Linked DNA regions of Ovis aries. The protein of the gene in region 2 purifies or fractionates together with the protein of the main gene of each other region. This does not show direct contact. Links are inferred from orthologs where the notes say so. Each region holds a gene or a part of one and is shown on either strand. Other genes may lie near its edges.

Region 1 (3,990 bases), on a different chromosome or scaffold from region 2:
CTCCCCCTCGGGGGCACTGTGTCCTCTACCTTCCGGGGATGGGCCAGACGGGAAACCTAATTCCCGAGCTTGGCTGTGGCTACCATTCAAGAGCCATCCCCTTCCCCCGCCCGGCTCCCCGCGTGAGCCTTAGTTCTGGCATCTGGAAAACGGGCTGATGACTAGAAGGCTAGGCCAGCCTTTGTAAAAACAGCCGGTGAGCCCACCTGAGTGAAGGGCGCCACCTGGAGGCTACAACGCGACGTCCTCTCCCTTGCAGGTTCAGTTTAGTCCCAAAGGGGGCGCAGCATCGCACACAACTAAGGGACCAAGAAGGAAAAAACCCATCTTTCGGTTTATTGAAGGGGGGAAAGGGGGTAAGATGGGGGGGGGGGGGCGGCAATAAAATGCTTTTGCTTCATTTATAAAGAGCGAGATTTCAGGAGGCCCCTTCTCAAGGAGGAGGGGGCCACCTCTCCCTCAACTACAAGCAGCAGCAAAGCCAAGCCAAGGAGGGGAGAGGGAAACCAGAGGGGTCAGGGGACCCCAAACACCCCCTCGGACAGCTTTCTCCCCCCACCCTCAATGCATCTACCCCAGGGGACCCATCTGGGATAAGGAAGTGGGTATGTACACAGGTGAGGGAGGCACAGGCCTGGGTAGGGGAGGGAATAATTTATCCGCAGCAGCGGTGGGTGGCAAGGGGTGGAGGGGGGCGGGGGTGGATAGGCAGTAGACTGGTGGCAGTAGTGGCCTAGGGGTCCCGTTCTTTCTTAACCTTGATGTCTCCAGCAAGAATGGTGGCGATCTCTCCCTGCATGAAGGCCCAGGGGACAGAGGAGCCCACTAGCGGGCACTTGTCTCCGCTGGGGCAGTACACCTCTCCAGCAGGGCCCTGAGCCTTGATGAACTCGCGGGAGCAGGGAAAACAAAACTTATGTCCGGGCACTGAGGGGCACTGGACGAAGTGGGTGTCTTCCAGACGCTCCCGGCAGAGGGTGCAGCACAGGGGGGCCCCAGGGGTCGCCCCGGTGCCACTACCACCCCCGCTAACAGCTTCCGCCCCTGCTGTGGGGCTCACTTCTGCCTCACCGTTGCGGGCCACTAGACGATGCTGGGCTGGAGGTGGGGCCGTGGAGGAGGCGGCGGGGCTGGCACCCCCGGCGCGCACAGGGCCCCCACTCCCGGCAGGGTCCTTGGGAGAGTGGCCCAGGGCCTCGGCTACGTTCTTCAGGGCGGCGATAGGGGAGGGCACACCAGGGGCATCAGCGGAGAATGGGCCACCGGGTGCCACCCAGTGCCGCTGCTGCTGCTCCTCTGTGGTCATCTTCCCAGCTGCCTCGCCCTCGGGCTCAGGGGAGGCCTTGCGACGGCGTGGAGTGGGAGCCAGATTCCGGGATGGGGCTCGTGGGGGAGGGCCGCAGAGAGCTGCAGGGGCCGGCTCTGGATACTGCTGGGGCAGGGCCTCGGCGGGTGCTGGCTCGCGGAAGCTTCGGACCCCATCCGTTAGCAGCTCTCCCAGCTGGCGCCATTCCCCAGAGCCGTGCCGGCGTTCATATTCGAGGTACTTGAAGCCTGATGAGGCCAGCGCCTTGCCCGGCTCGCGCAGAGCATCATGAAACATCTGGCGAGCGACTGCCAGGACTCCCGCGTACACGTTGCCAGAACCACAGGGGTATTCGGTGAAGAGCTTCAGCTCGAACTCGTAGCCTGGCGGGCGGGCAGTAGCATCGAAGGCGAACACACGTCCCACCAGCCCGTGATCCTTCTTGAAACGGACATTGAAAGGGGCGCAGGCGGACAGCGCCAGCAGTTGTTCCCGCACGGCTTTGGGGCGCCCGTGCCATTCCTCTGCCCGGCCCCTCATGGCCTCGTTCAGTTCTGCCAGACAGTCCGCATTCCTCTGTTGCTTCTCCTTCTCGAAATCGGAGCCAAAAGCTGGACGGGCAGGACTCAAGCCGGGTGCCAGCGTCAGCCCTCGGCTTCCCAGGCCAGACACCGCAGCTGCTAGCAGCCCGGGGGGCACCAAGCCGGGCATGGAGCCAAGCAGGGCCCTTCGCGCCCCCTCCGCCACAGCCTCTTCACGGCCCAGTCCATTGGCCAGGCGGGACCCCAGGGTGTACTCCAGGGCGGGCGAGGGCAGGGGGAGGCGGCCCGACGATGTGGCCCTGTCATAGCGGTCCTGGCCGGAGACAGCGCCGCCTGTCCCCGACGGCTGGGGCTGGGCCTGTGGAGGCGGCAACTGAGGGCCCTGTGCGGCGGCGGCAGCCAGGTCCTTAGTGGCCGGGTGTTTGAGGGCTGGGGGCCCCGGAGAACGGCCCTCGGGGAGCACGTGGCTGCGCTTGAGCTGGCGGGCGGCATCAATGAGCAGCTCGATGCGATCCGCGCCCTCGAAGTTCACGCATCCGCGGCACACGGCTTCACTGAAGTCCCACACCATGGCCCACGGCATCTTGGGCAGGTCGCACAGGTAGCACCACTGGCGGCGGGACGCCTGCACGGACGCCATAGCCCCCGCACGCGCCCGTTCGGGCTCTCGCCTTCCACCCGCCGCCGCCGCCGTTCAATCCGCGCCGCCGCCGTTTGATTCGCGTCCCCGGGACCGCGCGAGCCACCGCCAGGCCTTTCGCTCGGCCTCCCAGTGGATCCAGGCCCGGCCCCCCTTCCCCGCCCCCTGGGCCCTAAGCCTTTTTCCTCACTCCCGCCTCCTCGAAAAGACTGGCAGAGGCACGTCGGCGCCCCCGCCGGGTCCAGGATCCGGGCCGCGGCGCACAGCTCGGGCCCCGCGATGGGCCGCGGGCGCCGCCGCCTCGGGCTCCCGCCTCTCCCGCCGCCGCAGCCGCCGCCGCCTCTTTCTGCCCCAGAGGCCGCTTCGCAGGGAAAGTTACATAACGCACCGGCAAAGCCTTCTGGGAAACGTAGTCCCGCAGGGGCCTGTTCTTAAAGGGGACCGCAGGCTGCAGGAGGGTTGGGGCTCGCTGCCTCTCCGCTGCGCAACCGTGATTACTCCTCGCCGCGGGGGAGGGAGTTTGGTCGCTCCAAGCAGCTGGAGACCAAGGTTGGGGGCGAGGATGTGATACGGATGGTGAGAGCCACCGAGGATTCAGAAATTGCGGGAGGTGGACAGGCATCCGGTTTCTACTCCGACTTGCTGTGCAACTTTAGGCAAGTCTTGCCTTCTCTGAGATTCAGTTCCCCGCCCTTCAAAAGGTGGGCCGGCTACCGGTTACTGAAGGCAGCAGTTCGTGGGACGGGGGCGGAGGGGCCTTAACTGGAAGGTTTCAGGGTAGGGGGGCGGACAGGAAGCTGGCGACTCAAGCGTTGGGTAGGGCTGTCCACTTGGCACTTCGTCTTGCCTAGAATCTTGGATATCAGATTCTTGACTGGGGCAAGCGAAAACCGGAGAGAAGAGAGGACTCAAGGTCTCCGCGTCAGTTGCTTTATCTGCCAAAGGGAGTGGTCGAATGCCCCTGTTCCAGTTCAGCCGGCGCGCTCTGGTCTCCAAAGGGTTACACTGTCAGTTTCTGCGCACCCCGCAGAACTTCACTACAATTCCCGAAATGCTCCGCGGGGCCGACAAACCGACGCACTTCCGCCGCCTGAGAGGTTGATTGAGGCCTTCACGATTCCCGCTGTCTGTCCACAACCCACCCCCCACCTCAATTTCTGGGGTTTCGGAGCGCCCGGTTGAGAGGAGCTCTCGACCTCGACGGCTCACTAATTTGGAAGGAGAAAATGAGGCCAGAGATAGCAAGAGTTGGAAGTGGGGCATAGTTTCTGTGGAGAGCGAGAACCAGACCTCGTTTTTCCAACCTTGAGTGCTTACTACCTGATAGGCAAAAGCAGGCTTTTGGGACCCTCGTGCTTCCCGGCGATGGAACGCTGCAGGGCATGCTTGGAGAAGGGGGCATGTGGAGGAGAGACAGGTTTCCAGATTCTAACCTACATCAGCCTCTTTTCTCTAGGCCTGGGTCTGTTGTTCTCCAGTCGCTAAGCCTTGTTTGACTCTTT
Region 2 (4,026 bases):
GGCTGCAGACTTTAGTCCCCGCCTTCTTCTCCACTTGGCCCTTCCCTCTGTGGGTGTGTCCCCTCATTTGTGTCTTTTTTTTAAAAAAGATTTTTTTGTTTTTATTTTTATGCAGACCATTATTTTAAAGTCTTCACTGAATCTGTTACAATATTGCTTCTGTTCTATGTTTTGGTTTCTTGGCTGAAAGGCATGTGAGCTCTTGGCTCCTTGACCAGGGATTGAACCTACAGCCCCTGCACTGGAAGGTGAATTATCTTAACCCCTTGACTGCCAGGGAAGTCCCTCTTCTGTGTCTTATAAGTACCCTTGTCGCTGGATCAGCCCACCAGGTAATCCAGGATGATCTCATCGACATCCTTACGTTAGTTACATCTGCCAAGATCCTTTCTCCAAATAAGGTCACAACCACGGGTTCTGGGGGTCAGGATGTGGACATATCTTTGAGGGGGGCTACTGTTCAACCTACTAGACAACAACACACTGCAGTGTATTAACAGCCCACTTGCAGGAGACGTGGTGACGTTTGAAGCACGCCACTGGGTCAAGCTAGCCCAGACGGGTGGGTGGGTTTTGAAAAGGAAAAAGCAAAGGCAAACAACCGACTTCTCTTCAGAAATCGGGAACATCTGCTTTAACTTCACATCCTAAATCAATACAGGCAATATTACCAGTTCTTCAGAATACACTCCTCCTAAACCTATGAGCCTTGATTTCCTTGTCTGTAAAACGACAAAAAGATCTACCTGATGACTTGTCAAAACTCAACATTCAGAAAACTAAGATTATGGCATCTGGTCCCATCACTTCATGGCAAATGGATGGGGAAACAGTGGAAACAACGACTTTATTTTTGGGGGTTCCAAAATCACTGATGATGGTGACTGCAGCCATGAAATTAAAAGATGCTTGCTCTTGGGAAGAAAAGTTATGACCAACCTAGACAGCTTATTAAAAAGCAGAGACATTACTTTGCCAACAAAGGTCTGTCTAGTCAAAGCTATGGTTTTTCCAGTAGTCATGTATGGATGTGAGAGTTGGACTATAAAGAAAACTGAGCGCCGAAGAACTTTTGAACTGTGGTGCAGGAGAAGACACTTGAGAGTCCCTTGGACTGCAAGGAGATCCAACCAGTCCATTCTAAAGGAGATCAGTCCTGGGTGTTCATTGGAAGGACTGATGCTGAAGCTGAAACTCCAATACTTTGGCCACCTGATGCAAAGAACTGACTCATCTGAAAAGACAGTGATGCTGGGAAAGATTGAAGGCGAGAGGAGAAGGGGATGACAGAGGATGAGATGGTTGGATGGCATCATCGACTAGATGAACATGAGTTTGAGTGAACTCCGGGAGTTGGTGATGGACAGGGAGGCCTGGCGTGCTACAGTCCATGGGGTCGCAAAGAGTCGGACACGACTGAGTGACTGAACTGAACTGATGACTTATTTCCTTGGAAGAGGCTAATTACAAAGCCTCTCTGGGATACAAACCTCAAATACTACATACAGACACAGCAAGGCTGGAAAAATATACTGTTTGCTCTAAGACCTTAGAATATAGGACAGGTCATTTGAAATGAGCATATGCTTTACTTAAAATATTTCTGTTTACTTCTATGCCATCTTGTTTCAGAAGGGACTCATTTAAATAGATAACATTCAAATATAATACACCACTACATTTAAAATAAATGAAAAAATAGGTAAATGAGGAAGAAGAAAAAAAGAGATAAGATTGAGAGATATCTGAGAAGATAAAAATGAAGTAAGGAACAATATTCATACAAAAATCAGGCTGAACAATATCGTGTATACTTGTTAGGAGCAGTCACAATCTGGCTGTCAGCTCTTGGCACGTGATGCAAAGGTAAAGCCTGACCTGCTAAATTATTCATCGTGTCCTTAAGATTAAAAACACACGGGGAGGCAGAAGAGGAAAAAGACACTTGCTCAGAAGAACTGTAATACTCCTAGTAGTGAGAGAGAAATCTCTCTTGGGCTGTCTTAAGAAAGTATGATGCAGTCATTGCTTTTCTAGATTATAACTGAGTATTTCCAGGCGTTCTTTATTTTTACATCCAATGGCTTCCTGATTCATCCCCTAAGAGTCAGGATCAACTAAACTGAGAGTTTTGAGGTTGATGAAAGTAAGAAAGTATTTATGTACATATGTGGGAGGGGGTTGTAAAGGACAGAATACTGCTTTTTTCGGACAGGTAGGCACACAAACAAGAGTTTGATAATAAAAGTAAAATCTTTTTTTTTAAGACAAAAACAAAAGTTTTCTTTATGTAGAGAATACTGAAAAGAAAATCAACATGCTCCTTTCCCAATAGAAAGCCCTAGAGTTTCCATGTCCTCCAACCCTAGAAAACCAGGAGAAGCAAGAAAGAATATTCAGAGATGGAGAAGGGTAAGAAGCACTGAGTAGAAATACAGCCAGACGCTTCCCACAACAGTCATCCATGAGACCAGAGCCTTAACTCGGGGTCAAGGCTACAGTCTGAAGTGATGATAAATCTTCTTTTTATGATTCTTTGATATTTTCATAATCACTTTTGCTCGGTTAGTTTCGGTAATAAATAAGCATACTATTTGGAACACAAAGAACAATTTTACTTGCAGCACTCCACACACAGCTGCTTTTAGTAGGAATCTCTCTCTCACAGACACACACACACACACACACTCACATACACACACACATGCACACACTTACCTTGCTAAGCCACTTCAGCCCTGGTATCATATTTGAGTTAATCTGTTCTTCCAGCCACGGGCGCATACGCATCCTTTCCACCGGCATGGTGTCTTTCTGCAGAAAAGCAAATACAACATCAGGCATTTTTGCTGCTCACTGTCACGTCCGCAGGTGAAGTCTGACACCATGCCTGACTGACTGTACACTCTTCTTTCTCAAAATCGCACAGCTTATGTGTACCCAGAGGCCGGGGGGCTATGAGAGCATATTAGGGGCTTTGCCCTGGAGCATCCTGCCCCACTCATTCCCGAGAGGCTGTCTCCGTGGGATGATGGTGAGTGAGGGCCACTCCTGCTCTCAGCTAAGAGGGTCCCATGATGCAGAAACGCAGCCAGTCAGAGGACTCGGATGCCTAACGCTGGGTTTTGCGCATGCGTGCTCAGTTGCGGCCAACTTTTTGGGACCCTATGGACTGTACCCCGCCAGGATCCTCTGTCCATGGGATTATCCAGGTAAGAATACTGCAGTGGGTTGCCATTCCCTTCTCCAGGGGATCTTCCTAACCAGGGATCCAACTTGCATCTCCTGTGTTTCTGGCATCGGCAGGCCGATTCTCTACCACTGTACCACCTGGGAAACCCTAAGGCTGGGTCTTACCCCCTCCCAACCCGTGTTTGTTTACGGCAGATACCTTCAGTGTATCAGGTACCCAGAGGACCAGTGTTTTACAAGTACCCTTTGACATCATCTTCTAAAGAGCCAAGGGTGGACACAGTAGCCATTCCTTTGGGATATCTGAGTTACTGACAAGCTTCGAAATCCCAACACAGGCACGTTTGGGCAAGCTCTTAAGATATCAGTTCATTTGGTTTCAAGTTCTTTCATCAATTAGCCATCCCCTCCTGATGTAGTCTGTCTCCCCACAGAACACACCAGCCTCCTCCTCCGGCTTCAGCGCCACTTTTATGTGAAAGCATCTCTTATTCAGAGTGCTCCCTCAAGGGTCTTTCTCCACTGCCATGAGTCCCCTCTGACCTGGGGTCACCTTTCCTCCACCGGCCCACAAAACACCTCTCCCTCCTCCTTCCAGATGCATTTCTACACAGTCTATCCCCTGCCCACCTAAATATACCCAGAGCGGGATCACTCACTCATCTTCAGCCTATTTACACACAAGTTTGCATTCGACGCAAAAGCAGAGACAATGGCAACCAAGTCTCCAATTCCGCAGGACTTCATGGACAGTGGGACACGACGCTGTTTTCAACTCTTGGCTGCCTCATCTATCCTTGGCTCATTTTCTCCTCCAGAAATGAGCTCTGGATA

What was found.
Region 1: the proteins of IRF2 (region 2) and IRF2BP1 purify together in Homo sapiens (affinity purification with mass spectrometry; 4 studies listed by BioGRID and IntAct, counting the BioPlex papers as one, with this or other methods). This does not show direct contact. The link is inferred for Ovis aries from reciprocal best matches to the Homo sapiens genes IRF2 and IRF2BP1.

Annotation. Positions count from the first base shown.
Region 1 is NC_056067.1:53,190,048-53,194,037, forward strand, and holds IRF2BP1 (interferon regulatory factor 2-binding protein 1), read right to left. Parts: upstream 2,809-3,990; 5' UTR 2,489-2,808; coding exon 734-2,488; 3' UTR 316-733; downstream 1-315. UniProt on the Homo sapiens protein: Acts as a transcriptional corepressor in a IRF2-dependent manner; this repression is not mediated by histone deacetylase activities. May act as an E3 ligase towards JDP2, enhancing its polyubiquitination. Represses ATF2-dependent transcriptional activation.
Region 2 is NC_056079.1:14,090,889-14,094,914, forward strand, and holds the start of IRF2 (interferon regulatory factor 2), read right to left. Parts: upstream 2,806-4,026; coding exon 2,719-2,805; intron 1-2,718. UniProt on the Homo sapiens protein: Specifically binds to the upstream regulatory region of type I IFN and IFN-inducible MHC class I genes (the interferon consensus sequence (ICS)) and represses those genes. Also acts as an activator for several genes including H4 and IL7.